7 linked regions of the Mus musculus genome follow. The protein of the gene in region 2 interacts with the protein of the main gene of each other region in a pairwise test. Links are inferred from orthologs where the notes say so. Each region holds a gene or a part of one and is shown on either strand. Other genes may lie near its edges.

The links.
Region 1: the proteins of Ndel1 (region 2) and Cenpf interact in binary tests that used the Homo sapiens proteins (3 or more experiments, as listed by UniProt). The link is inferred for Mus musculus from reciprocal best matches to the Homo sapiens genes NDEL1 and CENPF.
Region 3: the proteins of Ndel1 (region 2) and Kalrn interact in a two-hybrid assay, tested with the Homo sapiens proteins (2 studies listed by BioGRID and IntAct). The link is inferred for Mus musculus from reciprocal best matches to the Homo sapiens genes NDEL1 and KALRN.
Region 4: the proteins of Ndel1 (region 2) and Mrc2 interact in a two-hybrid assay, tested with the Homo sapiens proteins (2 studies listed by BioGRID and IntAct). The link is inferred for Mus musculus from reciprocal best matches to the Homo sapiens genes NDEL1 and MRC2.
Region 5: the proteins of Ndel1 (region 2) and Dixdc1 interact in binary tests that used the Homo sapiens proteins (3 or more experiments, as listed by UniProt). The link is inferred for Mus musculus from reciprocal best matches to the Homo sapiens genes NDEL1 and DIXDC1.
Region 6: the proteins of Ndel1 (region 2) and Ccdc88a interact in a two-hybrid assay, tested with the Homo sapiens proteins (2 studies listed by BioGRID and IntAct). The link is inferred for Mus musculus from reciprocal best matches to the Homo sapiens genes NDEL1 and CCDC88A.
Region 7: the proteins of Ndel1 (region 2) and Pkp2 interact in binary tests that used the Homo sapiens proteins (3 or more experiments, as listed by UniProt). The link is inferred for Mus musculus from reciprocal best matches to the Homo sapiens genes NDEL1 and PKP2.

What each region holds. Positions count from the first base shown.
Region 1 is NC_000067.6:189,653,077-189,657,227, reverse strand, and holds part of Cenpf (centromere protein F), read left to right. Parts: coding exon 1-583; intron 584-2,135; coding exon 2,136-4,151. UniProt on the Homo sapiens protein: Required for kinetochore function and chromosome segregation in mitosis. Required for kinetochore localization of dynein, LIS1, NDE1 and NDEL1.
Region 2 is NC_000077.6:68,835,839-68,839,989, reverse strand, and holds part of Ndel1 (nuclear distribution protein nudE-like 1), read left to right. Parts: coding exon 1-119; intron 120-3,666; coding exon 3,667-3,840; intron 3,841-4,151. UniProt on the Homo sapiens protein: Required for organization of the cellular microtubule array and microtubule anchoring at the centrosome. May regulate microtubule organization at least in part by targeting the microtubule severing protein KATNA1 to the centrosome.
Region 3 is NC_000082.6:33,974,987-33,979,137, reverse strand, and holds part of Kalrn (kalirin), read left to right. Parts: intron 1-1,473; coding exon 1,474-1,612; intron 1,613-3,058; coding exon 3,059-3,622; 3' UTR 3,623-4,151. UniProt on the Homo sapiens protein: Promotes the exchange of GDP by GTP. Activates specific Rho GTPase family members, thereby inducing various signaling mechanisms that regulate neuronal shape, growth, and plasticity, through their effects on the actin cytoskeleton.
Region 4 is NC_000077.6:105,347,894-105,352,044, forward strand, and holds the end of Mrc2 (C-type mannose receptor 2 precursor), read left to right. Parts: coding exon 1-113; intron 114-413; coding exon 414-533; intron 534-704; coding exon 705-884; intron 885-1,674; coding exon 1,675-1,701; intron 1,702-1,805; coding exon 1,806-2,032; 3' UTR 2,033-3,252; downstream 3,253-4,151. UniProt on the Homo sapiens protein: May play a role as endocytotic lectin receptor displaying calcium-dependent lectin activity. Internalizes glycosylated ligands from the extracellular space for release in an endosomal compartment via clathrin-mediated endocytosis.
Region 5 is NC_000075.6:50,686,202-50,690,352, forward strand, and holds part of Dixdc1 (dixin), read right to left. Parts: intron 3,749-4,151; coding exon 3,659-3,748; intron 2,456-3,658; coding exon 2,402-2,455; intron 1,211-2,401; coding exon 1,160-1,210; intron 1-1,159. UniProt on the Homo sapiens protein: Positive effector of the Wnt signaling pathway; activates WNT3A signaling via DVL2. Regulates JNK activation by AXIN1 and DVL2.
Region 6 is NC_000077.6:29,463,955-29,468,105, forward strand, and holds part of Ccdc88a (girdin), read left to right. Parts: coding exon 1-236; intron 237-1,656; coding exon 1,657-1,784; intron 1,785-4,151. UniProt on the Homo sapiens protein: Bifunctional modulator of guanine nucleotide-binding proteins (G proteins). Acts as a non-receptor guanine nucleotide exchange factor which binds to and activates guanine nucleotide-binding protein G(i) alpha subunits.
Region 7 is NC_000082.6:16,223,105-16,227,255, forward strand, and holds part of Pkp2 (plakophilin-2), read left to right. Parts: intron 1-2,196; coding exon 2,197-2,309; intron 2,310-2,615; coding exon 2,616-3,187; intron 3,188-4,151. UniProt on the Homo sapiens protein: A component of desmosome cell-cell junctions which are required for positive regulation of cellular adhesion.

The sequences.
Region 1 (4,151 bases), on a different chromosome or scaffold from region 2:
TGCAGCTGAGGGTGGGCATGGTCTGCCACTGTCGTTCTGTGGGGCAGACAGCCCGTCTCTGACAAATTTTGGAGAAACGTCCTTTTACAAAGACGTTTTAGAACAAACTGGAGACACATGTCATCTAAGTTTAGAAGGGAACGCTTCAGCAAATTCTTGTGACTTGGATGAAGAGTTCTCCAGCAGTCTGGAGGAGGAGACTCTGACTGAGAAGGAAAGCCCACCTGCCCCTGGGAGGACTGTTGAGGGACTTGAAGTCCTATGCCAGGTGTACTTGCAGTCCCTCAAGAATCTAGAGGAGAAAACTGAGAGCCAAAGGATTATGAAAAATAAAGAAATTGAAAAGCTTGAGCAGTTACTGAGTTCTGAGAGGAAAGAGCTAAGCTGCCTTAGGAAGCAGTATTTGTCAGAAAAGGAGCAATGGCAGCAGAAGCTAACAAGTGTCACTTTGGAAATGGAGTCCAAGTTAGCAGAGGAGAAGCAGCAGACCAAGACTCTGTCCCTTGAACTTGAGGTAGCACGACTTCAGTTACAGGAGCTGGACCTGAGCTCCAGGTCTTTGCTTGGCACTGACTTGGAAAGTGTAAGTAGGATATACATGCTATTTCTCTGTGTGCATGCCTAGTTAAACTCAGTAAATGTTTATAGGATTGAATTCATATGAAATCAAAATTGGAGTATTTTTAGGGTTTAAAGAAATAAATGAAAACGTAACCAAAACCTTCCTAGAGCGAACCAGGACTCAAAAAAGTGAGGAAGCTATTTGAGGAATAAATGTCCATTGTGACTTGTTTTAAATATTTTATGGAAAAGCACCAAAAAATGTTTTTAAAGTCTGAAGTTGTAAATCTTTAGAATGTATGCTGTCTTAGTCACTGTTTTATTGTTGTAAAAGAGACACTAACCACAGCAACTCTTACAAAGGAAAGCATTTAGTTAGGCTGGCTTACAGTTTATCAGTTTAGGGAATTATCAGTATGGTAGGGAGTATCGTAGCACACAGGTAGAGATGGTGCTGCAGAGGTAGCTGAGAGTTCTAGATCCAGATCGTCAGGCAGCAGGAAGAGAAAGAGATACTGGGCCTTGCTTGAACATTTGAAACCCCAGCGCGCCCCCCTCCCCCCCCCCCCAGTGACATACTTCCTCTAACAAGGCTACAGCTAATCCCTGTTAAATATCACCACTCCCTAATGACCAAGCATTCAAATATATTAGCCTGTGGGGAAACCATTTCTATTCAAAACACCACATATACTGGAAATTAATAAGGTACACTTAAATATTAAGAACTTATGATCAGTGAGTGATGTGTTAGGGAGGCTTAGCTTTATGCCTTTCAGACTATTTTAGATGTTATAGTATTAGTTATTAAGCTAGATATAAGAAATTATTTAAATGTTATTTTTTGTTTTTAGCAGTTAGCAGTTAACAATGGTATCAGTTGCTTAAAGAGATTTATTTTATATTTTAGTTCCTTGTGGTTTTGTCTTTTCTAGTTGACCAGCTTAAATACCAATAATGCAGTACAGTTTTGGAATTCTGTGAGGTGAAGGTCATAGATCATTTTGAGGTGGTGGTAGGGGTGGTCATAATCAGAGTGCCCTAGTTTATATGAAATTGAGACAAAAACATGCAGTTTATCCAAGAAAGTACTGACTAGGATGAGGTCTTTGGGCAGACAATCTGCTAATAAACACTACTGCTTTTCTTAGTAAGTAAATGAGAACTTAGAACATGAGGACTAAGGATCAAAACATTAACCATTTTATCTGAAGTTTGTTAGCCTCTCTTATTTGATAACCACAAAAAACTACTCTTTTACGCTTCCTAAAACATTAAAAGCTATGAAAGATGTAATTTCCACATTAGATGTAGTGAAATAAATGTCCTGGAGGATTAATCTTTATGATAAATATCTTACCCAGTGCTTTGCACATAGGTAGAGCCCACTGAATGTTCATGTTGACTATCAAGACAGCAGGGTGGAATGAAGTGTTGAGAGTGATGCTATTTGGAGGGATATACATAGCAGTACCCATATGGGCAGTTTCTATAAAATAATAGTTAAACCACTGATTCTATTTTGATTCTTCTAAAAAAATAAAATGCTTTCTTGGTTTATATTATGTTTATAGGTTGTTCGGTGCCAAAACGATAATTATGATATAAAAGAATCAGAAGTATATATTTCAGAGACTACAGAGAAAACACCAAAGCAGGACACTGACCAAACTTGTGATAAAGATATTCAGCAGGACCTTGGTCTGGAAACTTCAGTCACTGAGAGTGAGACTACCAGGCTCACAGGAGAGGGGTGTGAAGAGCAGCCTCCGAAGACCAATTGTGAGGCACCAGCGGAGGACAAAACCCAGGACTGCTCAGAATGCATTTCTGAATTGTGTTCTAGTTCCAATGTTTTGGTGCCCATGGATGTTCTGGAAGATCAGGGGTCTATCCAGAATCTCCAGTTGCAGAAAGACACCTTAAATGAGAATTTGAGATTACTTCCTGAAGTAGAGGACTGGGACAAAAAAGTTGAAAGTTTGCTAAATGAAATTATGGAGGCAGATTCAAAACTGAGTTTACAGGAAGTACAGCTCAAGATGAAGATTGCAACATGCATACAATTGGAAAAAATAGTCAAGGACCTCAGAAAGGAAAAAGCTGACTTAAGTGAAAAGTTGGAATCCCTTCCATGTAACCAGGAGGTATGTCTGAGAGTAGAAAGGTCAGAAGAAGATCTTGGTTTTAATTTAGATATGGGAGCAAATGAGTTGTTAAGTAAATCTACTAAAGATAATGCAACCAACACAGAAGACAATTATAAGGAGAAGTTTCTTGATATGGAAAGAGAACTGACCAGAATTAAGTCTGAGAAAGCTAATATTGAGCATCACATCCTATCTGTGGAAACTAACTTAGAGGTGGTTCAAGCAGAGAAGCTCTGTTTGGAAAGAGACACTGAAAGTAAGCAAAAGGTTATTATTGACCTTAAAGAAGAACTATTTACAGTTATAAGTGAGAGAAACAGACTTCGGGAAGAATTAGATAATGTGTCAAAAGAAAGCAAAGCACTGGATCAGATGTCTAAAAAGATGAAAGAGAAAATAGAAGAGCTGGAGTCTCACCAAAGGGAGAGCCTCCGTCACATTGGGGCAGTAGAGTCTGAGGTCAAGGACAAAGCAGATCTTATTCAGACTCTGTCCTTTAATGTGGGTGAGCTAACAAAAGACAAAGCTCATCTCCAGGAGCAGCTGCAGAATTTGCAGAATGACTCACAAGAATTATCTTTGGCGATTGGTGAGCTGGAAATACAAATTGGACAACTGAATAAAGAGAAAGAATCACTGGTCAAGGAGTCTCAGAACTTCCAGATCAAGCTGACTGAGTCAGAGTGTGAAAAGCAGACGATCTCTAAGGCCTTGGAGGTGGCACTCAAGGAGAAAGGTGAGTTTGCAGTGCAGCTGAGCTCAGCCCAGGAGGAGGTGCATCAGCTGAGACGAGGCATTGAGAAACTGAGCGTCCGCATTGAGGCCGATGAGAAGAAGCACCTCAGTGCTGTGGCGAAGCTGAAAGAAAGCCAGCGTGAAAGCGACTCATTGAAGGATACAGTGGAGACTCTGGAGCGGGAACTGGAGAGGTCAGAAGAAAACCAAGAGCTGGCAATTCTTGATTCTGAGAATTTGAAAGCAGAGGTGGAGACCCTTAAGGCACAAAAGGATGAAATGACCAAAAGCCTGAGAATTTTCGAATTAGACCTTGTTACAGTTAGGACTGAAAGAGAAAATCTAGCAAAGCAGCTACAAGAGAAACAAAGTCGAGTGTCAGAATTAGATGAACGGTGCTCTTCCTTGAGAAGACTGTTGGAAGAGAAGGAGCAAGCAAGAGTACAGATGGAAGAAGACTCTAAGTCTGCAATGCTGATGCTTCAGATGCAGTTAAAAGAACTCAGGGAGGAAGTGGCAGCCTTGTGTAATGACCAAGAAACCTTGAAGGCCCAAGAACAGAGTCTAGACCAACCAGGGGAGGAAGTGCATCATTTGAAAAGTAGCATTCGAAAGCTCAAAGTTCACATAGATGCTGATGAAAAGAAGCATCAAAACATCCTAGAACAACTGAAGGAAAGTAAGCACCATGCAGACTTGCTTAAG
Region 2 (4,151 bases):
GGAAGACTTTGAACAAAGGCTAAATCAGGCCATTGAACGAAATGCATTCTTAGAAAGTGAGCTCGATGAAAAGGAATCTTTGTTGGTCTCAGTACAGAGGTTAAAGGATGAAGCCAGAGGTAAGCTCTATCACTTAGCCAGTGTTTACCCATTGCCTGTGCCTGAGTAAGCACAAGGACTGACTAACCCCTCTGATGGTGCTAGGGGTCACCCCGGAGCTTGAGCAATTGGGTAAGCACTCTGCTCCTGAGCTGTGTTCCAGCCCTCAGTTTCTCGGAAGCTCTAGTTCTATATGCTTTTACATAGCTTTCAATCGTTGTGCCAAGTGCTTTTAACCTGGTCAATTATCTCATACCCATAGCATCAGTGCTGAGGAGTAGGTAGAACCTCCATGTTATAGGTGAACAGAAGGAGGCACAGAGAGTTGGAGCTTTTTCACTGTTGTACTGCTCTCAGTTGGGATTTTTCTCCTTATTAATTGTATTTAAATAACTCGTTATTTACATAGAACCATATATATATATATATATATATATGTGTATATATATGTTGCTGTTTACATATTATTCATGTAACTCGTACACACTTTCTTTTAAACTTCTTTCTCCTCAGAAACAATAAAATTGAGAATATTATAAAGAAGTCCCCTAACAGTGTGACATAGTTTACTTTTTTATGATTGTATATGTCTGTATATTTTCCCTTAAATAATTCCTGACTTTCCTATGAGCAGACAGAAATGGACACATACATTTCTCTTTTTTTTCTACTTAATATAGGGAATATACATGGCATCACAATTTTTTTTATAAATTTATTTTATATACAGTCTTCTATCTGCATGAATGCCTGTAGGCCAGAAGAGGGCATCAGATCCCATTACAGATGGTTGTAAGCCACCATGTGGTTGCTGGGAATTGAGCTCAGGGCCTCTGGGAGAGCAGCCAGTGCTCTCAACCTCTGAGCCATCTCTCCAGCTGTGGTATGGAAAATTTTAAAGCAGGCTTTGGGTCTGGAGAGGTAATGGCTCAGCACTGGGAGCATGTACTGCCCCTGCTCTTGTTTCCTATATAATTCTCTGAATCTCATTGTGCTAAGGAGGAGAGAGAGATGTTCTACAGAAAGTGTGTTTAACTATATGTCGTCTCTTCATCTCTTTTTATAGATTTTCAGTGTCTTTTAATTTTCTTTTTCCTGAGGGTGATGCATTCATCTGAAGGTTTTTTTTTTTTTTTTTGTTGTTGTTGTTGTTAGAGTTTTTAAAAGGTTGATTTATGTGTAAGGGTGTTTTGGCTGCATGCATGTGTGCCACTTGGCATGCTTGCTGCTCTCGGGTGCTGGAAGGTGGCATCAGATCCCTGGAACTGGAGTTCAGATAGTTGTGAGCTACTATGTGGGTGCTCGGAATCAAACCCTAGTCTTTTGGGAAAGCATTGAGTGCTGAGCTATCTCTCTAGCCCCTGAGGAACTGTTTTAATTTTTGTAATATATAAAGTATTAACTTGGTATTGTTTGTGTATAGATTTTGTTTTACAGTGGTAGGAGTGAACACAGGGCCTGTGCATGACAGGCTCCATCCATCCCCAGTCTTGTTCACTGTTGGTTTCTCAAGTGCTAGAATTAAAAATTAAAAGTGTACCACTATACTGAGATGGTTTTTAAATTATTATTATATTTATGTGACTGGTTAGTTTAACTTTAGTGTCCTCACGGTTTGTTTATGTTGTTGTGACCTGATTTTTTTTTTTATTTAAAATTTTTTTTATCATTTTATTTTATTTTTTTATATATATATTTTTATTACGTATTTTCCTCAGTTACATTTCTTTTTTTTTCCATTTTTTATTAGGTATTTAGCTCATTTACATTTCCAATGCTATACCAAAAGTCCCCCATACCCACCCACCCTTATTTAAAATTTTTTTAAAATGGCATTTGTGTGTGTGTGTGTGTGTGTGTGTGTGTGTGTGTGTGAGTGTGTGTGTGTGTGTGTGTGTGTGTGTGTGTGAGAGTGTGTGAGTGTGTGTGAGTGTGTGTGTGTGTGAGTGTGTGTGTGTGAGTGTGTGTGTGTGTGTGTGTGTGTGTGTGTGTGTGTGTGTGTGTGAGATGCCTGTGATGTCTGTACCTGCGTCTGCCTGCATGGGTATAGAAGCATTAGTATGGAGTTCAAAGGACAATTTTTGAGAATGTGTTCATTCCCCTATCTTACAGAAAGTAGATTAAAAATTCCACTCTAGATCATTTTTTTTTTCTCTTCTGTGAATGGGCTGTGGGGTTGCTTGCATCTTTAGTTCTTGTGAACAAGGCTGTTGTGGATATAGATTGCATATATCAGTTTGTAATTCTATTTTTACTTTTTTGATCTCAAAAGTGAAATAACATATAGTATCCTTTGTTTTGTTTTTGCTTTTCTTTTTTTTTTTTCAAGACAGGGTTTCTCTGTGTAGCCCTGGCTGTCTTGGAACTTCCTCTGTAGCTCATGCTGGTCCCAAACTCACAGAGGTCTGCTTGCATCTGCCTTCCAAGTGCTGGGCTTAAAGGCATGCGCCACTGCCGTCTGGCCTGTTTTTCTTTTTCTGCAATAGGGTCTTTCTGCATAGCCCTGGCTATCCTGGAACTTTCTGTGTAGACAAGGTTGGCTTTGAATTCTCAGAGATTTGCCTCTTTATATCCTTTTTCTTTTAACATATGAAGATATTTTCAGGGTAGGTATATAATTGGAAATATTAAAAATTCAGTATTGAAAAATGATTTCATAGTGGTAGTTTAAAAAATCTGAGATGTGGTAATGCATGCCTTTAAACCTGGTATACTGGAAACAAAAACAGTTGCATCTTTGCAAGTTTGAGGCCAGCCTCATCTACATAGAGAATTCCAGGCCTACCAGAACTGTATAGTGAGATCTTGTTTAAACCAAATAATAAAAAAATAAAAAAAACTATAAAACTTTGTAAAGCTTCATTGGCATTTGGTAGTAATCTTCACGGCAACTGCATATGCACAGTTGGTTAGGGATGTCCCGTGTTACTTAGTTTCTCTGTGAGTTCTAGTTGTGTCTTTTTTTTTTAAGATTTATTATTTTATTTGTGTATATGTATATGCCACTTATGTGCAGGTGCCTGCAGAGGCCAGAAGAGGGTATCAGATGCTCTTGGAGCTAGAGTTATAGGCATCCGTCTGACATGGATTGGGAACTAAACTTGTCCAGTGGAAAAGCCATCTCTTTAGCCCTCACTGCTCAATTTCTTTTTACCTTTGGGCATAATACTGTTCTCTGAGAGGTTATAGCATTTTAAAATTCTTTCTTTTAAATTATTTTTATTTTGTGTGTGTGTGTGTTGTGTGCGTACACTAGCCACTGTGGAAGTCAGAGGACATCTTGTAGGGGTTGGTTCTCTCAGTCTCCCATGTCTGTCTCAGGGATGGAACTCTGGTTGTCAGGTCTGGAAACAAGTGCCGTAACTACTAAGCCATCTCACTACTTTGTATTTTTAAGTTCTAGGGGAGTTCACATTTTGTTAAAGAGATAAAAATTTTTAGATAGGAAGCTTGTTTTGAGAACTAGTAACATAGGAGGAATGTTTATATGATGTTTTTGTTGGGACTTGCAGGGTATATTTGCTCCCTCTAATGAGGATTCCTGCTTTTGTTTGCGACATTTTGCAGATTTAAGGCAAGAACTAGCAGTTCGGGAACGACAACAGGAAGTGACCCGCAAGTCTGCCCCCAGCTCTCCAACTCTGGACTGTGAGAAGATGGATTCTGCGGTCCAGGCTTCACTCTCCTTGCCTGCAACGCCTGTTGGGAAAGGCACAGAAAACAGTTTTCCTTCACCAAAAGGTTTGTATTTTCTCTTGAAGGCCATGTTAGATGATCAGTTTCAAATGTATTTGCTGGTGTAGCAGAGCTGCTACAGTTCTGCGTGAACGGCAGTTTACAAGTTACTGTAGTATCCAGGAAGCAGAGGAAGGATGGGCTTTCCAGGTCACTGATCTGTCGCAGTGGGATGGTGTCTGCGCTCAACACAAGAGCAGCTTAAGTAAAAGTTTTAAAAAGTTAAAAAGTTTTTAAGTTTTAGATTTTATTTTTAAGACCTTATTTTGGTTATTATAGAAATATATGTTCATGCAGATTCCTTCTTCCTCCCCCCT
Region 3 (4,151 bases), on a different chromosome or scaffold from region 2:
TCCCTAGTCTCAGATGGATGCAGGCTAGAGAACAGCTCTAAGGAAGGTGGGGTGGCTGATCTTTTCTGGCTTGGAGCAGTGTTGCTGTAACTGTCCCCCTCATTTGTTCCAAGTATCTCTGAGAGTTCCTTGTGATGAGCACAGTACCACTCCTCTCTGATCTTTCCTCTCTTGCCTCATACTAGAAGACCAGAGGGAGGTAGGGAGCCTTCCAGGGGCTCCATCCTTTTCCACTTATCAATAAAATAGAAGGATCCCGTAGCAAGGAACAAATTAGGGGAGAAAATGAAGTCAGCTATGCAGGTTTCAGCTATGGTTGGAAGTTATTCCTGTACTGGATCACACTCCTTGACATGGGCATTTCCTGAGACGTATCTCAAATGACCCACTTCACATTAAAGGTTTGATCACTTGTTACAAAAGGGCATAGGAAGCCTAGAAATAGCTACTGTTTATTCAGCACCGTGTGTTACTTCTTTCTTTCTGTGATGAGACACCATGGTCAAGGCCACATATAGAAGAGAGTTTATTAAGGGCTTAAAGTTTCAAAGGGTGAGTCCATGACCATCATGGTGAGGAGCATGGCAGCAGGCAGCTCTTGGTTCTAGAGCTGTAGTTGAGAGCTTACATCTTGACCCACACAGCACAAGGCAGGAAAGTGACTGAGAATGGTATGGGCTTTTGAAACCTTCAAAGCCTGCTCTAGTGCCACACCTTCTCCAGCAAGGCCACACCTCCTAATTCTTCCCAAACAGTTCCAGCAGCTGGGGACAAGTATTCAAACATATTTGACCATGCCTCAAATCTTCATTGCCTCACCTGGCTCTCACAAGCCTGCCAAAGAAGTAGGTCTTATTTTGTCATTGATGTTGCTGTTGGCAGCCAGTTGCTATGCCCACCTTAAAAGGCGGTGCCTTTCAGGAAAGCCAAATCACAGAGGGTTTAAGTGATGACCTACAGCCACCAGCTGGTAAGAGGCAGAACCAGAACAGAAATCTGCTTATGGTTGGCTCCACTTAGCCCATTTTCAATCTGTCTTTAAAAGTTGGCAAGCTGTTAGAAAGGCAAAAGAGTTAAGAAGTGATCAGATATGCTGAGAGCAAACCTTTCCTCTTTCACATTTCTCCCATCTAAAAATGTTAAAAAGTGGAAATACTTTTAATGTATATGAGGCTCACTATAGGCACCAGACTTTTCTTTTCCTTTTCTTTTCTCTTCAACCTAACCTCTTAAAGCCAGGTTAGACCTTAGAGTCAACAAAACGGTGTTGTGTAAGGCTGTAAGGATTTCTCCTGCCGTGTAACTCATTTGTAACTTGATTCATTCTAGTTCTGAATGTGGCACTTACTTTGGGCTCTAAAATACATGTGTGTTGCAATACCAAGCTTTATTAATAAGAGACCTCCTAGAACTTTTTAAGCTATGTGCATGGGTCATTTCTCTATTTCTCCCCCCACCCCTCTTTGCTGTCAGGATGGATGACGGCCGACTCTTGGACTACCTTATGAATCATGATGAGCTGATGGAAGAAAAGGTAGCTTTCTACATTCGAGACATCATGGAAGCTCTGCAGTACCTGCACAACTGTAGGGTCGCACATTTGGACATAAAGGTAATAAAAAGTCAGTGCCTGTTACAGTGAAATAGACGGGTTCAGCTTCCCAGACATTTCCTTGAGGAATACAAAATACAAAATTGAATTTCTTTTTATTGTTGTTGTTTTGTTTTTATAAAGACAGGGTTTCTCTGTCCTGGAACTCATTCTGCTGACTAGGCTGGCCTCAAACTCAGAGATCTGCCTGCCTCTGACTCCCAAGTGCTGGGATTAAAGACATGCATCACTACTGCTAGGGGGAAGATTTACATTTCTTTTGTCTTTCCTGTGATGTCATGTGACTATTAAACTAGAACTAGACTTTCACTCTACCTAAGTGCATTGTTCAGGAATGAAGGAAACACACCAGAGAGATGGTGGCACACGGGGTAAGGGAAAGCTTTAACCAAGCAGTCTAACTTTATAGACATCACTTAATGTCCTGTTCCCATTCATTCTGTAAGAAAAAGGAGCTTCGGAGGGCTGGAGAGATGACTCAGTGCTTAAGACCCAAGTTCTCTTGCCAGCACTCATATTGCTTGGCTCACAACCACCTGCAACTCCAACTGTAGTAGACCCAGTGTTTTCTTACGGCCTCTAACAGCACCTGCACGAACATGGAATACACTCATATAGATACGTACACATAAAGAAAAAAAATTTTTTTCCAAGAAAGGGTTTCTCTGTGTAGCCCTGTCTATGCTGGAATTCACTCTGTAGATCAGGCTGGCCTCCAAATCAGAGATCCATCTGTTTCTTTTTCCCAAATGCTGAGATTAAAGGCCTGTGTTATCACCACCCAGCAATACACGCACGCGCACACACACACACACACACACACACACACACATATATACACACACACAGACATATACATGTATACACACACATATACATACACATATACATGTATACACACACACGTGCGTGCACACACAGTTTCTGAGAAGCTTGTTTTTTTCTTAAAAATTTAGTTCTTTCCTTGATTCACTGCAAGGCAAGGGTAGGTAAGAAGGCATGCTCTTCTGGAATACGTGTGTGACTTAGTAGCAGAACACCTGCTTAGCATGTGTAAGGCCCTGGGTTGGATCTCTAACACTAGGGTGGGGAAGTACAGGCTGAGTGCTGCAACCCTTACCTCTAAGCTCAGCAGTCAGTAGACAAAGACAGAAGGATCTCTGTAAGTTCTGGGCCAGCCTGGTATACAGAGTAAGTTCTGGGCCAATCAGGAGTACACGATTAGCCCTGTACTCCTTCCCCAATGCCAACCAACTTATCTAAAAAGCCACCTAACCCCAGAGTTTAGTGAGTTTGAAACCTCCTTTGCCTTTGCATAGGGAGTATTCCACATGACTGAATCAAAGAATAATAATCTGTGTTAGCTAACAGATTGCAGCTGGGGTAGGGAGGTCAGCAAAGACCTCATCTTACCTCTCTTGTCCCTGCCTTCCTGGGTCCCTGCAGCCCGAAAACCTGCTCATTGACCTCCGGATCCCAGTGCCTCGAGTGAAGCTCATCGACTTGGAAGACGCTGTCCAGATCTCAGGCCACTTCCATATCCACCATCTGCTGGGGAACCCTGAGTTCGCTGCCCCCGAAGTGATCCAAGGCATCCCTGTCTCCCTGGGCACAGACATCTGGAGCATCGGGGTTCTGACATATGTCATGCTTAGTGGGGTCTCCCCCTTCTTAGATGAGAGCAAAGAGGAAACCTGTATCAACGTGTGCAGGGTGGACTTTAGCTTCCCCCACGAGTACTTCTGCGGTGTGAGCAATGCTGCCAGGGATTTCATCAACGTAATCTTACAGGAAGACTTCCGGAGGCGGCCCACAGCAGCCACGTGCCTGCAGCATCCCTGGCTACAGCCCCACAACGGCAGCTACTCCAAGATCCCCTTGGACACCTCCCGTCTGGCCTGCTTCATAGAACGCCGCAAGCACCAGAATGATGTGCGGCCCATTCCCAATGTCAAGAGTTACATCGTCAATAGGGTGAACCAAGGGACCTCGCTATCCCACAACCCCTGAGGTTTCACATAGTAGTGCAGTGTGAACCAAAGCAAGACTGAGCGTGTCTGTAAATAACTCTGATCATCATTTCACTCCATGTGGTTCTCTGGACTGACAGGTGATCCTCTTAAACCTTGTCTGTGGTTACCCGGGGTCTGAGTACCATGAAAGTCACCTTAATCCCAGAAGGTCATGCTGAAGAAGTAAAGATACAGAGTTGCAGAAAGTATTAAAAGAAAGGGCAAGGCTAAGGAGACAGTACTTGGTATGAAAATGGTAATTGTACATTCCAAAATGAGCAGTTAAGTGGGAAAACCGTACACCCACTGTGAGCAGTATGGTAGGTTTCTGACTCCATTGAAAATTTAAGCAAAAACAAAAAAACAAAAAAAACAAAAACAAAAAAAAGTTCTATTTAACAGAGATGTCAACTATTCTGCTTTAGATGGCTTAGATATAGTTTCTTAACAGGATACATATACGCATACAATATAATAGATCTCATTCAGGTTTCAGAGTTTTATAATATAGAGTTCTATATGAAATC
Region 4 (4,151 bases), about 37 Mb from region 2:
CTGTCCTCAGGGCTTGGCTGACTCGTCCTGGATTCCCTTCAGGGAGCATTGCTATTCTTTCCACATGGAGGTGCTGTTGGGCCACAAGGAGGCGCTGCAGCGCTGTCAGAAAGGTGGGTGAGAGCAGCCTAGCCCAGATCCGGGACTCTGAGGCCTGGAGAAAGAACTTCCCCTCTGCCTATAGGCACTTATCTCAAGCTCCCCTCGCTGTTTAATACACAGACCATGTTGTGTCATCTACAGAATATCCCACGGTCCACAAGTGCTGAGATTCACACCATCTTGCACTTGAGCTGCCAGAGAAGAGTGCCGGGGTTGCTGTGAAGCGGGAGGGGGGGGAAGTAGTTTGGGGGGGGGGTCTATCACCATAAGGAGAATCTGCTTGTCCTGACATGGGCTTTCTTTGTGTCCAGCTGGTGGGACGGTTCTGTCCATTCTTGATGAGATGGAGAATGTGTTTGTCTGGGAGCACCTGCAGACAGCTGAAGCCCAAAGTCGAGGTGCCTGGTTGGGCATGAACTTCAACCCCAAAGGTGGGTGCTCTGTGTACGGGAAGGGAAGGGCTCAGGCTGCAAGAGGGATGCTTACCACTGTCTCCAGGCTTGTGAAAGTACAGCAGTGGATCGTGGTTATCGCCTCCCACCTAGAAACCCCCCTTCCACCTATTCCCATTCCCACACCTTCCCAATGGGTTCCTTCCACAGGAGGCACGCTGGTCTGGCAAGACAACACAGCTGTGAACTATTCTAACTGGGGGCCCCCTGGCCTGGGCCCTAGCATGCTAAGCCACAACAGCTGCTACTGGATCCAGAGCAGCAGCGGACTGTGGCGCCCCGGGGCTTGTACCAACATCACCATGGGAGTTGTCTGCAAGCTCCCTAGAGGTAAGCCAGGATCTCGGTCAACAGCTGGGCCCATAGCTGGACTCACAGCTGGATGTCCAGCTGGGTCTAGGGTTACTTGATATACAGGGGCATCTGCTTTGGCCGGAGGGCATCAAGTACATTAGTTTGCAGCAAGGACTGACGCAGGGCCTCAACTTTCCAAAGTACACATAAGCCCAGAGGACAGCAAGCCCCATCATTCTATAGTGGTTAGGGACAAGGGATGGTCAAGCCCTGGACACTCACGTATTGACTCTGAGGCCTGGGGATATAGTCCATTTGGTAAAGTCACGCAAGCACCAGGATCCGAGTTAAGATTCCCAGCACCCCAATAAAATCCCAACATTGAGTGCCATCACCTGTAACCCTAAGACAGAAAGGGAGACGTGTATTTGTGTTTTATAGGCCCCTGGAGCTCATTCACCAGCCATGAGCTGAATCCATACGTTGTAGGTTCAGTGGTAGACCCTGCCTCAAAACACCGAGGTAGAGAGGCATCAAGGAAGACACAGTGCAATAACCTTGACCTCTGACCTCTACGCACATGCACACTCACAAGTATCTGCTTATATTCACCTATAAGAACACATACATAGACACACACACACCTGTCCCATCAGCTTCCTCATATATAGAACGGAAATAGTAGAAGCCAGGTCCTAGAGTCCTGGGAGGTTCAGTGACTCTGCAAGGTGACATTCACAAAGCAGTTCACAGGCACTTATTTAAATTGTGACTATGATTTCTGTGAGGACTGATTGTGATTCTCTGGCTCTCTCCTCTCCTACAGTGGAAGAGAACAGCTTCTTGCCATCAGGTGAGTGGAGGGAATGAGCGAGCCCCGGCCTGGTTCTTTCGCTGGCTCCTCTGTCCCTGTGGTCATGACTGGGGCCTGATGTGAACTCCCCACCTCCATCTCAGCAGCCCTCCCCGAGAGCCCGGTTGCCCTGGTGGTGGTGCTGACAGCGGTGCTGCTCCTCCTGGCCTTGATGACGGCAGCCCTCATCCTCTACCGGCGCCGACAGAGTGCGGAGCGTGGGTCCTTCGAGGGGGCCCGCTACAGTCGCAGCAGCCACTCTGGCCCCGCAGAGGCCACCGAGAAGAACATTCTGGTGTCTGACATGGAAATGAACGAACAGCAAGAATAGAGCCAAGGGCGTGGTCGGGGTGGAGCCAAAGCGGGGGAGGCAGGGGCCCCAAGGGCGTGGTCGGGGTGGAGCCAGAGCGGGTAAGGCAGGGGCCCCAGGTCAGCAGGCCCCCATCACCCATCAGCCCAGTTGTCTTTGGATGGCAACCCTTGGGAGTTGCTACTGGGTGCCGGGGGCATAGCTTGCCATGGGGTGGGAGTACCCAGCCTACCATAGAGGCTAGGCTGAGACTTGGCAGTGGGTCATGTTCCCCTTTCCCTTGGGCCTGGGATCGTGTCACCTGGACCTGGACCCCATGGCAACTGGAGGCAATATGAGAAGGGACATGAGCTTATTCATGTCTTTTCCTCCCCAGATCCCTGAGCCTAAACCTGCTGACCTGCAGCCTAGGATTCTTTCCTATCTGTAGGCCTGGAAAGCCTGCCCCGTCCCTTGGGGTGGCTCTCTGTCACCTCTCCTACTCGGCTACATCAGCTCTGTCTCCTCACCCTGCCCTCGTGCCTTTTTTTCCACCCAGTGCCTCCTTCTGAGCCATGGCCCTGGGACTTGGGTGATCTCTCTCTCTCTCTCTCTCTCTCTCTCTCTCATTCTCTCTCTCTTTCTCTCTGGGTGGGGGTCAGCTGAAGAGGCTGGCCAAGCATCTGTCACTCCTGTGCCTGCTGGAATGGACCTAGGGTATGGCAGGAGGGAGCCTAGGTGGCTCAGGTGTACAAACCAGGGCACCGGTGTGGTGTCTGCTGGAGTAGAGATGGAACTTCGGAGAGACACCTTATCCACTCACAGGGTGTCATCTCCTGCTGGTCAGGGGAGGGCTCTGTCCTTGAAAGAGTCCCCTGTGGGGACCAAAATAAGTTCCCTAATGTCTCCGGCTTCTGGCTCTGGCTTGGAGAGAGGGAAGATGGTTTGGAGGGGGAGGGGCGCTGGTGAGGCTGTAACCTGGGACAGCACCAGGTGCTACCATCTGGTGTGGCCTAGGAGACCAACTCATGGAACCACTCAGCACCTTTTTCCAGAGGAGAGTCCCAGCCAGGATGGAGAGTGCCAGTCCCCGTGTCCCAGTGCAGGACGATGTGAACAAAAACTCAAAGCGGACCCTCTATTGTAGTTCTTGATTCTCGAAATGTGCTATTATTGTTTGTCTTTTTTTTTTTTTTTTTAAAGAAGGAAAAAGAGAAAAAGAATAGCAAACAAATAAAAACCTTCCAGAGGCTTGAGAAGTCAGCGTTTGTGCCTCCTTCTCTGCAGAGTCTGACCCCCGCAGCCCTGTAGGGACAGATGGCAGCTCTGTCCAGTTGTTTCTGTAGCCTGCCATTTTGCCTCTGAGCTTTTGGCTCTCCTCAGGAGACAAGTCGTCCCTGCCTACAAGCGTGTGAACTTGGGCACCTGAGCTCATTGTCCCATCAGCTTGAATAGGGCGTAGAGGATCTCCTAGGGTTGGGCTGTCGGAAAGATGCTTAAGGATGTGGTGAGTGTCCTTACCAAGTGCCTCTGAGTGCATGCAGTAAGCACTCCATAAATGCTAACTGCTACTCTTATTTCTAAAGTTTTTTTTTATTACATTGTGTGTGTGTGTGTGTGTGTGTGTGTGTGTGTGTGTGTGTGTGTGCGTGTGTGTGTGTAGGGTGAGCAATATGAATACCTGGACCAGAGTGGGAGCAGAGGGTCCCTAATGTCTCAGAGGACCGACAGGGTGACTGCAGGAGTGTGGCTGAGTGGGTGCAGGCCAGGACGCAGTGGCATGGTGGATACTGTAAGGAAGGCTGCCAGTGGGAATGGCTGATCTGATCTTTAACAAGTTCATTGTAACCGCGGTAAGGGACACAGACAATGGATGGGAGATGGGGGAGGGGAAGCAGAGGAAGCCCTTGCAATCATTAAGACCTCAGAAGATGGTGGCTGGTTTGGCCTGGAACACTAGCGGTGGTTTAGAGGCGTTGTGCGTTCTCAGGCTTACCCTGTCCAGGACTTTTAAAATCTTAGTTCTACTTGTTTTGGATAGGCAGTGTGGTCATGTGGTTCAGAGCCTAAAGGAGTGAAAAGAATACATAAAGACACCCATTGAATGTTCTCGCTCCTTCCCTTGCCCATCCACCCTGGACGCTCCTGCCATGATGGTTTT
Region 5 (4,151 bases), on a different chromosome or scaffold from region 2:
TTTTGGAAAGTGTTACTGAATTGGTCTTGGATAGCCAAGGAAGACATGTGCAAGAAAGAGGGGACCATAGAAGCTTTAGATGAAGACTCCGATGTTATATTACACTCCTATCTGAGTGAATAACATATACTCAAGGTTATCAGAGCAAGCACTGCTTATACCAGCAAAATAGCTCCCCTAAAGTGGCTAGTCCAAAATACCACCAAGAGGAGAATGAGTAAATATATATATAATACACACACACACACACACACACACACACACGACTGTTATGGGGGCAGGAGAGATGGCTTAGTCCTTAAGTTCACTGGCTGCTCTTCCTAAGAACCCGAGCTCAATTCCCAGCACCACGTGGAGACTCACAGCCATCTGTAACTTCAGTTCCAGGGATCCAACACCCTCTTCTGGCCTCCTTGGTTACCAGGCATGCAAGTGGTAGAGACATACATGCAGGGGAAAGTCCCACACACATAAAAAAATTAAAAAGAAAAACACAACGCAAGTGTAAAGAAACCCGAAGATGGTTTGACTAAAGTAGAACGCTCGCCCAAACACACTGCTCAGTGAGAGCAGCGGTGTGCAGATGTCCCCAGGTACACGGTAATTTGGGGTGAAAGGTGGGAGAAAATGTTAAACAGATAGACTGGATAACTGATAAGTTGCCTCAAGTGGGGAAAACAGTTTGTGGTGGCAGTGGGTGTGGTAGGGTGGGGGTCAGGGGGGCAGAGCTGGTGGGAGAGCTTTCACAGTCTATTCTTTTGTGTTTTCAAACCACTTGAATGTTATTAACCACCCCAACATGGTTCCTGTTTCTTTTTTCCTAAAAAGGGCATTTTTACGAACTGAGAGTGCCTTCACATAGAGCAAAGCAAGGTGGCCCAGAGGCAAGTGACAGCACCATGAGTCACAACTAGGAGACATAAGCCTCAGCAAAAACCAAGATATCTTCCTCAGCATGTCTTGCTACCCACCGCAAAGTCCTTTCTATACCCCTAGCACCAAGCCTGTTAAAGACCCCTAGCAAAACCCCAATAGTCCCTAGGGTGCCCTGTTCTCAAAACTCACTGATAGACCACATTACCTCACAGAGGCTTACAAAAAAAAATAAATAAATAAAACTAAAAAGACAGAAAGAAGGAATTCAATGTCTTCATTTTACCTTTATCCCCTGTAGGTTTCTGGCTTCTTGTTTGCATTTCAGCAGTTCTTTCTACAAACCAAACATAGAGAGATCAGACGGTGGCTTCTGAGTTGCTTCATAAGCATTACCTCATTCTGTCAGCAAGAAGACAAAACCCAGTTGGCCATTCCACGAAGATTAACCCATCAGCTGAGGCACAAAGCAGGTCCAGTCCTGTAAGCCGTAAAGACTGACCCTCTCTTCTCTAGGCACCCATCACTGAGATGCCCAGGCAGTCAGAGGACACCCCATCCCATCCGGACCCACAGACAGGCTCTCTCCACACAGCAATCTTTGTTAACAGGAGAACCGGATAACATCATCCGAATCTCCGTTCAAATCTGTGATATGCTATCTCTTCTGCTGCCAAATACTTATTTTGATTTTATTTAACTTTTAAGCAAAGGGTTGGCATGCTTCTATTCTCCAAAAGGCTATTGTCTTCTTCTTCTTCTTCTTTTTTGGACTGAGGCTATTGTTCTTTGTGGTCCAAACAAAAAAGCACTTGGCTTTATAATGGGAAACTGAGTAACTGAATTTCCATATATATGACTGCAACTAAAAACAGAGATTTGAGAAAAGCAAAGCCTGTTACTGAGACTCGGGTCTCTCGCTATTGTGTCACAGAAAGGATTCATAATTAGCTTATCTAAAGTGGGATTTGTAACCTGGCCTCCAACAGATGGAATCAAAAGTTATAAAAAAAAAAATGGAGGTCTAAGTGTGTATGTGTGCACATAAGCACATGTCACGGGAGATGTGTTCAGTCACAATGCTCTCTACCACTGACCTGTAAGAAAATATTCATTAAAAAGAACTACACTAACATTAGACACTCTCTCCCCTTTTTGAGGCAGGCTCTCATTATGTAGCTCTGGTTAGCCTGGAACTCAGTATGTAGACCAGGCTAAACTTGAATTTATGTACCACGATGCCCAATCTAGAGTCATCTTTTTCTACTGATTAAATTACAAAAAGGAATCTAGAAAAATTTCAAACTTACAGAACAGAACAGATAACTACTATGTAGGGTTAAAATTAAAAAGTTGTCACCGTGAGCAACAGGTCAGATGTGTCTCTCTCCTCCAAAGACAGACAGCATAGGTAAGGTTCAGCTCGCCCCGGCACCGCATCCCTAGCCCGCTCCAGAATGCCCCAAAGCTGGCATGTTACGTCCCCACGGTTACTTTCGAAGGGGAAAATATGCAAGTCCTCCCCTACCTTAAGGTCCTGATTCTCCTCCACACTCTGATCCAGGCGGCTTCGGATTATAATCTGAACATAAGACAAGATGGTCATGAAGTTCATCGGCCACTCACTCAACAAATACTCACTGACACCTACGAGACACCACTTCCATCCGGGAACACATGCCCTCTTACAAGCAAATGCTCCAAACAATACAGATGAAATTTACAGTGTGTGTGTGTGTGTGTGTGTGTGTGTGTGTGTGTGTGTGTGTACCAGGAGAAGCAGATGGAATCAGGGAAAGAGGAGATGAAGCAGAAAAGGACAACGGGAGCCAGACCAGGAAGGGCCAATGAGGACAGTAGGGAATTAACACAAGGGTTTATCTGGGTTTTTAAAAGATATTTATTTTTACTATTTGTGTGTGTGTGCGTGTCTGTGGGTATATGCTCATTGAGTACAGGAGCCTTAGAGGCCAGAGGCAGAAGATCCCTAGAACTGCAGGGAGCCACCTGATAAGGGGGCTGGAAATTAAATTCCAGTTAAATGTTCTTAACTGCTGAGATGAACAAGAAGAGTTTAGAAGAAGAATCTCAAGTCAGGAAAACCTATCTCGAGGCTGCTAGGATGCTGGATGAGTGAAGGCCTGAACTAAGTAGTGGCTGAGCTAATGGAGACACTGGGTGTGAAGGGAGGATCAGAAGAACTCAGGGATGGCGTCCAGGTTTCTGTTCGGGGCTTCCGAGTAAACGAGGAGATGGGAACACAAACATAAGGACAAACAGAGTCAGTGGCTAAGAAGGGGACAGAGATACTTAGCAGAGGACACACTGACACCGAGCACCCACAAATGAGCTGTCTGCTGCACACAGCTCTACAACTCTGCAGAGATCTGAACTGGAAATCCATCTATGAGAAGCAGGCACAGAGTGAGTGAAGACACAGAAGGCAGAAACACTGACCAGTGACTGTGTAAAATCGACGACGACCCAGACAGGGATGCCGAGGAGCTCCACATCACGACATAGAGAAAAGGAAGTCTCCAGGGGACTGGGCTGTCATCTGAAGGGGAGTGGGGCCATAGGTGTCCTTGGTCATTACCATAGCTCTAGCACCGTGGACTAGCGTGTGACCCAGAGTCAGCACATCTGAGCATCTTTCTGAACATCTGCTGACTACATCAATGGGGAAGCCAGGAAGGCCAAGAATGGCAGACAAACTCTAGGAGTCAGGAGAGAGTACTTCAAGAAGCTGAGGTCAGGTGTGAGAGGAGCCAGGCCTGGCGCTTACCAGCTGTTCCTCGGGATTGACTCCTGGTTCACAAAGAGCCACGGGTCGCTCCTGTTCATCCTCCGGCAGAGAGCCATTGAGTAGCAAAGCCTGGATAAACCACAAAGAGAGGAGGAAACTGAATACCCTGCCACCTGGTTCAGTCTAGAGTCAGGCTTGCTAAGTTTACCACAATAGAAATTGGTGGATGACACAAACACGTCTTTGGAGGAAGCCAGATGATAAATAACCTCTGCCTACTTCCAATGGCCCTGAGGACACACATCTCCTTCTAGAGGTCCCTCTCCCATTTTTAAAGAGTCTCATGTGGGGATGGCTTTGAACTTCTGGTCCTTCTGTCTCTACCTCTCATGTGTTGGGATTTCAAGCATCTACCACTGTGCCTAGTTTACAATCGATACAATCGGACCTAGAACTAACTCCGTGCAAGCTACAAAGGCACTGTACCAACTGAGTTACATACCCAGCCCCATGATACAGGGACCCTCTGCTC
Region 6 (4,151 bases), about 39 Mb from region 2:
AAAAACAATTGGAGAAGGAAAATAAACGACTCCGACAACAAGCAGAAATAAAAGATACCACATTAGAAGAAAATAATGTGAAAATTGGGAATTTGGAAAAAGAAAACAAAACTTTATTCAAAGAAATTAATGTATATAAAGAGTCCTGTGTTCGTCTAAAAGAATTAGAAAAAGAAAATAAAGAGCTTGTAAAAAGAGCAACTATTGATATTAAAACCTTGGTTACATTACGTGAGGTAAATATATTTACCTAAACTTAAGGCAATCATTTTTTATATTTGCAGCCCACATTTTATTGAACCCATCAGTAACTTGTGCCATTTTTTGTGTAGTTCAGTACAATTTTGGAACTAGAGCTAGAAACTACTTCTGTTTCCTATTCAGTTGACATTTTAAATTGTATTTTTAAAATTGTTAGTAATAAGGTATAAATGATTAGAGCAAGTGTTTTTTACCACTTGGCTAAGGATTCATATGTAAGTTGTAGTCAAGTAAATTTATATGATTTTTCACAGTCAGTCATTTAAATATTATTTTTATCTTTCACATTAGCAAACAGGTTCAGAAATATTAACTTACTCAAAAACACACAGTTAATAAAAGGAGTGGATTTCTGCATTTAATCTCAGATCTTTCAAACTCCAAAGCTCTGTGATGTTTGAGAAGCCTGAGAATGAAAATCAGGTTTAACTTAAATTTCAACATTGAACTATTGAGAATTCTCTCACTTGTAAGATTTACTTTGTGATAGTTCCTGTAATATGTGATAGGTTCATACATTAGATAATAGTTTACTTTTTCCCCCCACACATAAGTGCTTCATTAAAGTCCATGAGTGTGTTGGAGGTTCCATTATGGTTTTCACCACGTTGTTTGTTTACCAGGAAAGAGTTTCTCCTAGAAACTCCTTTATAACAGTAGCATTATAAAGAAGTAGCAACACACACACACTCGAGCTTATTTCTATTAAAAATGTTTTTTTTTTTTCAAAAAATAATTTGAGGAAGAAATGATGTTTTTATTTGATATTTTATTTATTTACATTTCAAATTTTATCCCCTTTCCCAGTTTCCCCTCCAGAAACCCCCATCCCATCCCTCCCCCTGCTTCTATGAGGGTGCTCACCCACCCACCCACTCCCGCCTCCCTGCCCTTGCATTGCCCTGCACTGGGTCATCGAGCCTTCACAGGACCAAGGGCTTCTCTTCCCATTGATGCCGAACAAGGCCATCCTCTGCTACATATGCAGCTGGAGCCATGGGTCCCTCCATGTGCACTCTTTGGTTGGTGGTCTAGAGTCAGCACTGTGATGTTCTTTCTATTCTTTTTTATTGTTTGAGTAATAGCCTTATGGTGCACAGACAGGTATCTAGCTCATCTTGAACACTGCCACCTCTGCTATGTATGTGGCTGGAGCTATGGGTCACTTCATGTGTACTCTTTGGTTGGTGGTTTAGTCCAAGAGAAGATTTTTAGGATTTTTAGGAATGATTTAGCTTGTTTATAATGTACCACTTGACTGCTGGAAAGGGTCAGTCACACTTCTTACCTGGTTCAAATTACGTCTGGTTGGGTTGTAGTTATTAGAATCTTGACTGACGTTCTTTTCTTGATACTTGAGTGAGTTGTACGTTCTTTCATTCTTTTTAAAATAAGGATTTAGTCAGTGAGAAATTGAAGACACAACAAATGAACAATGATCTTGAGAAATTAACTCATGAGCTTGAGAAGATAGGTTTAAATAAAGAGCGGCTCCTACACGATGAGCAGAGCACTGATGACAGGTAAGTGGGATGTGGAGAAAGTTCTGAAAGATGTGGACTGAAAGGAAATTTAGCTTTATTAATGGTTGATTCAGACTTGTTTTACATTTCTGTTTTTGGTTAATTATAGTCTTTTAATTAGGATTAATGTGATTTTTAAGATCTACAGAGCCACTTGTTTCAGATAGACTAGAGATCTACTCTTTTGTGGGCCAGTAAGATGGCTCATTAGGTAAAAGCCAAGACCAAGCCTCATAACTTAAGCTTGAGTCTCAAGACATACATAGTAAGAAAAATCAAATTTTCCAAGTTTTCTTCTGACCTCTATATGCATGCTATGGCACATATGCTTCTACACATGTGCACACCATGTATGCACACACACACACACACATATATACAAACAAATATAATTAAATTTTTTTCTATAAGAATATTTAGAAAAACAAAAACCAAAGCTGGGTAGTGGTGCTATATACCTTTAATCCCAGCACTCAGAGGCAGGCAGATTTCTGAGTCCAAGACCAGCCTTTTCTATATAGTGAGTTCCAGGACAGCCAAGGCTACACTGAGAAACTCTATAGCACTTGTTGACCTGCAGAAAACAGGGGGTTCTCTTCCCACAGCCATCTGTTACTCTAGTTCCATGGATCTGACACTTTTCTGATCTCTGTGGGCACCAGGCATGGATGTAAGTGTATATTCAGGGAAAACATACATACCATAAAATAAATACATCTTAAAAATATTTAAATTTAAAAATAAAAGTATTAAATTTCTAAGGAAATTTTGTATTCAATTTAATCAGAATGTTAATTGCCAATTTAATTGACTATCTTAATATAGGTGTCAAATATGTATTAATTTTTAATCAGATTACCTATTGTTTATGAAACATTTCATGTTGTTAGCAAAGCATGTATTGGCCTAAGTAACACTTTCATTAAAATTAATGAGCCCAGTTTAGACAGACCCTTTTTAAGACTTGCCACCTCTTCCCAAGCTTTAATTCATATAGGTAGCCAGTATTGATTGATTCTTAGAACAATTTAAAACATGCAACCAAGATACAATAACATTCATTATCCCACATTTCTATATATAAAGAAAGATTTTTGGGATAGAAACCATATATTGTGAACTAAAACTTTTAGGAAATGGGATCGAAAATATTTAATAACTAATTAAAGTTGGGCAAAATAGAAAAGAGTGTTCTGTTTTAAGCCACTAAATGTTTTCTTTCATTTGACTAGTAAGTAAGCTTTTATGTTAAAAATATAATAAAGGCTCACAGGTACAAACACTTTTTTAGTCTTTCATCTTCTCCATTTTGGAATTTTTGTCTATCAATTTCAGGTGATGTTCCTAGTTCCTTTGTTTCTCATCTTTCTAATTAATGTTACTACCACTTTGAAGATACTATCATTAAAGCACATGTAGCTTACTGGTGGGATCAAGTATATAAATACATAACAGTGAGTTTATTGTCAGTGTGGTGAACAGATGTAATTGGTTTTTTGTTGAACAAGCTTTTCTGTGATTTATTGTGTATTATCACCGTGCATACACATTTGCTATAATGCTATTATAACTTTAGTGGTCTATCTACAGCGCATCACCTAGTCCCAGGCCCTCTACATTTCTAATTCCAATTTTCTATGAATAAAATCTGGAGTGTAAAATAAATAAACAAACAAAGAAAAGAAAAAAAAAAGAAGTAAATTTTTTTCCAAAGATTCAGCAAATGAGTAAATCCCTTAAGAAAGTAAGTGTCTATTTTCTCAGTTTTCCATGGATGCTGTTCAGCTGGTTCAACGTTAAAAGCTGTGAGGAGCCTATAGATATGACACAGCCAGTGGGCACTACTTTAAACACAGAGGTTCTACTTTGATTCATGAAACCCACATTTTGGAAGGAGAGTTCCATTCTCAGAATTTGTCCTCTGATCCTTGGCATGCAGACACAGAAACACATAACAAATAAATAAAATGTAATTAAAGAGAAGTTGACTGGTAATATACAGTGGATATCAATATACAAGAGCTGAATTACTTTCAAGAAAACTGGTGTTAAACATTGGGGATTAAAATATGAAATCTAGCCAAGCGGTGATTGCACATGCCTTTAATCCCAGCACTGGGGAGGCAGAGGCAGGTGGATTTCTGAGTTCAAAGCCAGCCTGGTCTACAGAGTGAGTTCCAGGACAGCCAGGGCTACACAGTGAAACCCTATCTCGAAAAACCGAAAAACCAAAAAAATAAATAAATAAAATGAAATCTAGAGATAGCAGTAAAGGGACAGTACACGTAGCCAATAGCTGCAGCAGTGAATCCCAGTAGAAAATGTCATGGGGAACTCTACAGACTTATGTTTCAGGCTGAATTGACC
Region 7 (4,151 bases), on a different chromosome or scaffold from region 2:
CTATGCAGACTCTAGGAAGTTTCTGTTTCTTTGGAGATAGGAGGAATATAAGCTTTTCATTTTACCTCCCCCAGATCCTTAAGGCTCAAAGCCTTTTGTGTTGCCCTGTGTCTATACTGCTAATTTCTAGCCCTATGCCAGCATAAGCTTTACACCCTCTCCTGGTTGTCTGCGCTGTGGAATGGACCAGGAAGTAAGGGGAAACAGCTAGCCGAGGAGCCATGCCCTTAAGACCTCTCCTAAATTGAAGGAATTCCTTTCCCTCATTCAGTAGTAAGGGCACTGAGACAGCAGCCTGAGAAGTTCCCTTAATCATTTAGGGACCTCAATACAAGGCACACTAGCATTTTGTAGCTTGAATGCAAAACAGAAATTTTGACATAGTGGATGTGAAATAGAGTTAAAGATTTTAATTTTAAAAATAGTTTAATATTAGCCTGAGAATTAAGGTTAAGAAAGAAAGCAAGGTGCTCACATGGAAGTAACACCTTAGAGCGCAGAGATGGGAAGTGAGATACACCTAAGTGTGGGTACAGGCCCTTCAAGGGAAAGTCGTGGTGGTTTTATAGCATTAGCCACCTGTGCCATCCTAGTGGCTCTCTGAAGGCATAATCTCACAAAGTTGCAGAGGGACCCCCCCCCCCCATAACTAAATGATATAAGTGGCTCTGGAGATTCTTTTGACAGAATTACGATCTGATAATGTAAAGCCGGAAGCCAGCAGGGCTGCACATGGCGTTTAATACATGGACGTGGTGTCTGTCTCCCACCAATGGAGTTTCTGCTGAGATTTCCAGGGAACTGTAAGATGATAGCTGAGAAGAGAGAGTCTTTCATTGAACTGCTAGTTGTACTGGTTTCTTCCTTCCTCAGTGGCAAGAGGCTTTAATGAATTCCCGAGTCAGAAACCCCTCTCCCTTTCCAGGCCTCATGAATTCTAGAATCAGGACTTTCTGGCTAACCATGCTTTCAGTGCCTTCAATACGACAGGTACAAGCCTGTGTGTGGGTGCCTCTCTAAGACAACCAGACAAAAAGGCTTGATTGGCATCAGGAAATAGGGACACATGTGCAAGCATAATCCAAATGGATTCAAACTGTTTAGCTTTCTGGTAACAACAGTCTTCATTCTCCCTCCAAGTAATTTGTGAATAATTATTACTCTCTTGAAATGTAAACATTTAGACACTTTGTTAGAAAGAGTTCCATCATAGTGAGGGGACTGTGTTCTGCTGTTCTCAGCAGCTCTATTGAGGCTCTTAGGATTGTTGAGTGTCTTTCTTCCTCACATGTGTAAGAGAAACACTGCCGGACAAAAATAAGAAAATAGAAAAAGACATTATCTAGGCTTTAGAAGTCTTTTTTCCATTTAAGAGATTAGAAATCAGATGCGGGGAGAAGGCTAAAGAGACAGGAGAGGGCCAGCCCTGCCTTCCAGCCCACATTCCTCAGAGATGAGTAATCAAGTGGATGAGAGCATGCTTCACTGAGCAAGGCCTGGCTTTCCCCTGAAGTGTTTGTGAAATAGTCAGCTGGGTCCTGACTTCACAGGCACAGTCATCATAGAAGAGCCGTTAATTTCTTAGCTACAAACTCACAATGCCAACACCGTAGCCTTGCTTTAGATTGCTCGGTGTCTGTGACTACACTGGCCCCACCCTCTGGTTTACACAAGCTCCCTTATCTAGTAGCGTTTGAATGTTTTCATTCCCTTGGACTTCTGAACAGCAAAAAATTCCAGAGCTCCTACCCTGGGAACACAACCTACCTCTGACCTGAATCAGAACTTCCTGGGACTGAACCAAGCCAGTGAGCCCCAGCACTGGTCAGCTCAGCGGCAGCATTGGGCTTTCCTAAAGGCTTCTCGCCATTGCTGGTTTTGTACTTTCCATTGTTTTCTTGTTTTGTTTGGTTTGGGGTTTTGTTTTCTTTTTGGTTTGGTTGGTTTTTGTAACTCGCTTGATTTCATTCAGGCTACCTGCAACTCAGAAAGAGAGATTACTGGCATACACTACTGGCACTTGGAAACACCCAGTAAATGTTTTGATAACCTCTGATCATTTGTCTTTTCTAAATGACAGCTTTCAACCAGCATTTCCAAACACTTAGATATAAACTTCAGTGTTTGTCATGCATCTGATCAGTGTAGATTGGCACGTTTGTATTCTAAATTACTTTAATGTTTTCTTAATTTCAGGGAACCTTCACCGAACCAGCAGTGTCCCTGAGTATGTCTACAAGCTACACGTGGTTGAGAATGACTTTGTTGGACGGCAGTCACCTGTCACTAGGGACTATGACATGCTTAAGGTGGGACATCAGAGAACATAATCCGTGACCAGATTATCAGGAAAACAATTTCAGACTTTTCGAGAAGGGAGTAATCTGTCTCAAGTGGTCTCCTTTCCCAGTTTTTAAGAATATTTGTGTAAACAATATGGAAAACTGGGACTTTAAAAGTTTGAACAATATTAAATTCTAATACAAATAACTATGACTCAGGGTAACACAAGGGTACTGACTTCCATTTTATTCAAAGAAATGGACATGTTAGATTGTAATCCCAAAGTCGGTCAGGTCAATATGCTTCATTTAAATTTCATTTCTCTCATACAGGCTGGAATGACTGCCACTTATGGAAGTCGCTGGGGGAGAGCAGCAGCACAGTACAGTTCCCAGAAGTCAGTGGAGGAGAGATCCTGGAGGCAGCCTCTGAGGAGACTTGAGATTTCCCCAGATAGCAGCCCGGAGAGAGCCCACTATGGGCACAGCGAATACCAGTATGCCTGGCGGAGCCACGTGGTGCCTGGTGGGCGCCTCACCCTGCCACGCTATGCTCGCTCAGAGATCCTGGGCCTACGCCAGGCTGGCACAGCCCGCAGGCCACCTGGGTGCGGGTCATTCAGCGATGCTGTCTTCGACAATGGCCCACTCAAGCCCACAATGCCCACCCACCCTCCTGGCACCAGCCACAGTGCGGGCAGCTTGTTGGAAGAGACCACTGTGCGCGTGAGCCAGGCTCGGCTTCAAAGCACGCAGAGCAGAACCGCCCGCTCCTCCTGGCCCAGGAGCTCAGTCCGCAGTAGCCTGCGGGAGCCAGGAAGAATGCTGACCACCGCAGGCCAGGCTGCCGTGGGCAGCGGGGATGCACATGGGGACAGGAGTGTCTTCGCTGACGCCCAGCTGGGGTGAGCCTCCAAACCTGCCTTACAGTTTTATACTGTGTATGCATTAACTTAACTTTTGCCCCAGTCTTCTAGCTTTTTGCTAATGTCTGACTCATCCTTGTATTCTCAGTACCATAGGAAGGAGGCAGGTTCACAAAAGACGCTATAAAAATGTATCCTGAAAGAGGAATGTAGGAGTGAAAGACCAAGATGAAATAATGACTTTTTGCTATCTGGATCCTTTTGTTACTTAAATTCTACAATCACTAGCCATACTTGTGTCAGAATATTATTTTAATGGACAGTGTAATTGTAATAGAATATTTAATCATGTTTCAAAGACTAATCTCTTCTGGAGATTCACAAATCCTAGAGACTAGGAGTTAACTCTTATTTCTGAAGGGAAAGTTTTGCTTCCTCTGGGAAAGAGAGGCAAATAGGCATCACTTTACAGAGGAAACAAACAATAGCAGTGGCCTTCCCAGTGGAGTCCTGCACAACTCGGAGCCTTGGCTGCTGCCACACACCTGTACACTGCATCCTTTGTCCTTATCCTGCTGTTTCACACTTCCCTGTGGCCAGACCCCATTTCCAGACTCTACCTTTTTATGCCCTCTGAGTATATCTTCATATGTGTGGGTCTTTCCTATGGAATATCTAAACACAACTGTCAACTTAGACTGTGATGCAAAGTACTAAGCCATGGGTTTAGTTTCCCAGAACATTGGAATGTATCAGTCAGTCAGTGACTGATGCAGTTGGAAACTGTCTTGAGGGTAGAGGAGACACTTAGCACTTGTCCAAAGCAGACTAATGAGAAAGTTTTTTAAAAAATTACCAAGTGAGGTGCTGGAGAGATGGCTCAGTGGTTAGGTGCACAAGCTGCTCTTCCAGAGGACCCAGGTTCAGTTTCCAGTACCCATTCAGTTGACAGCTTACCATTGTCCAATTCCAGGGGTTCCGACACTTTCACACAGATATACAA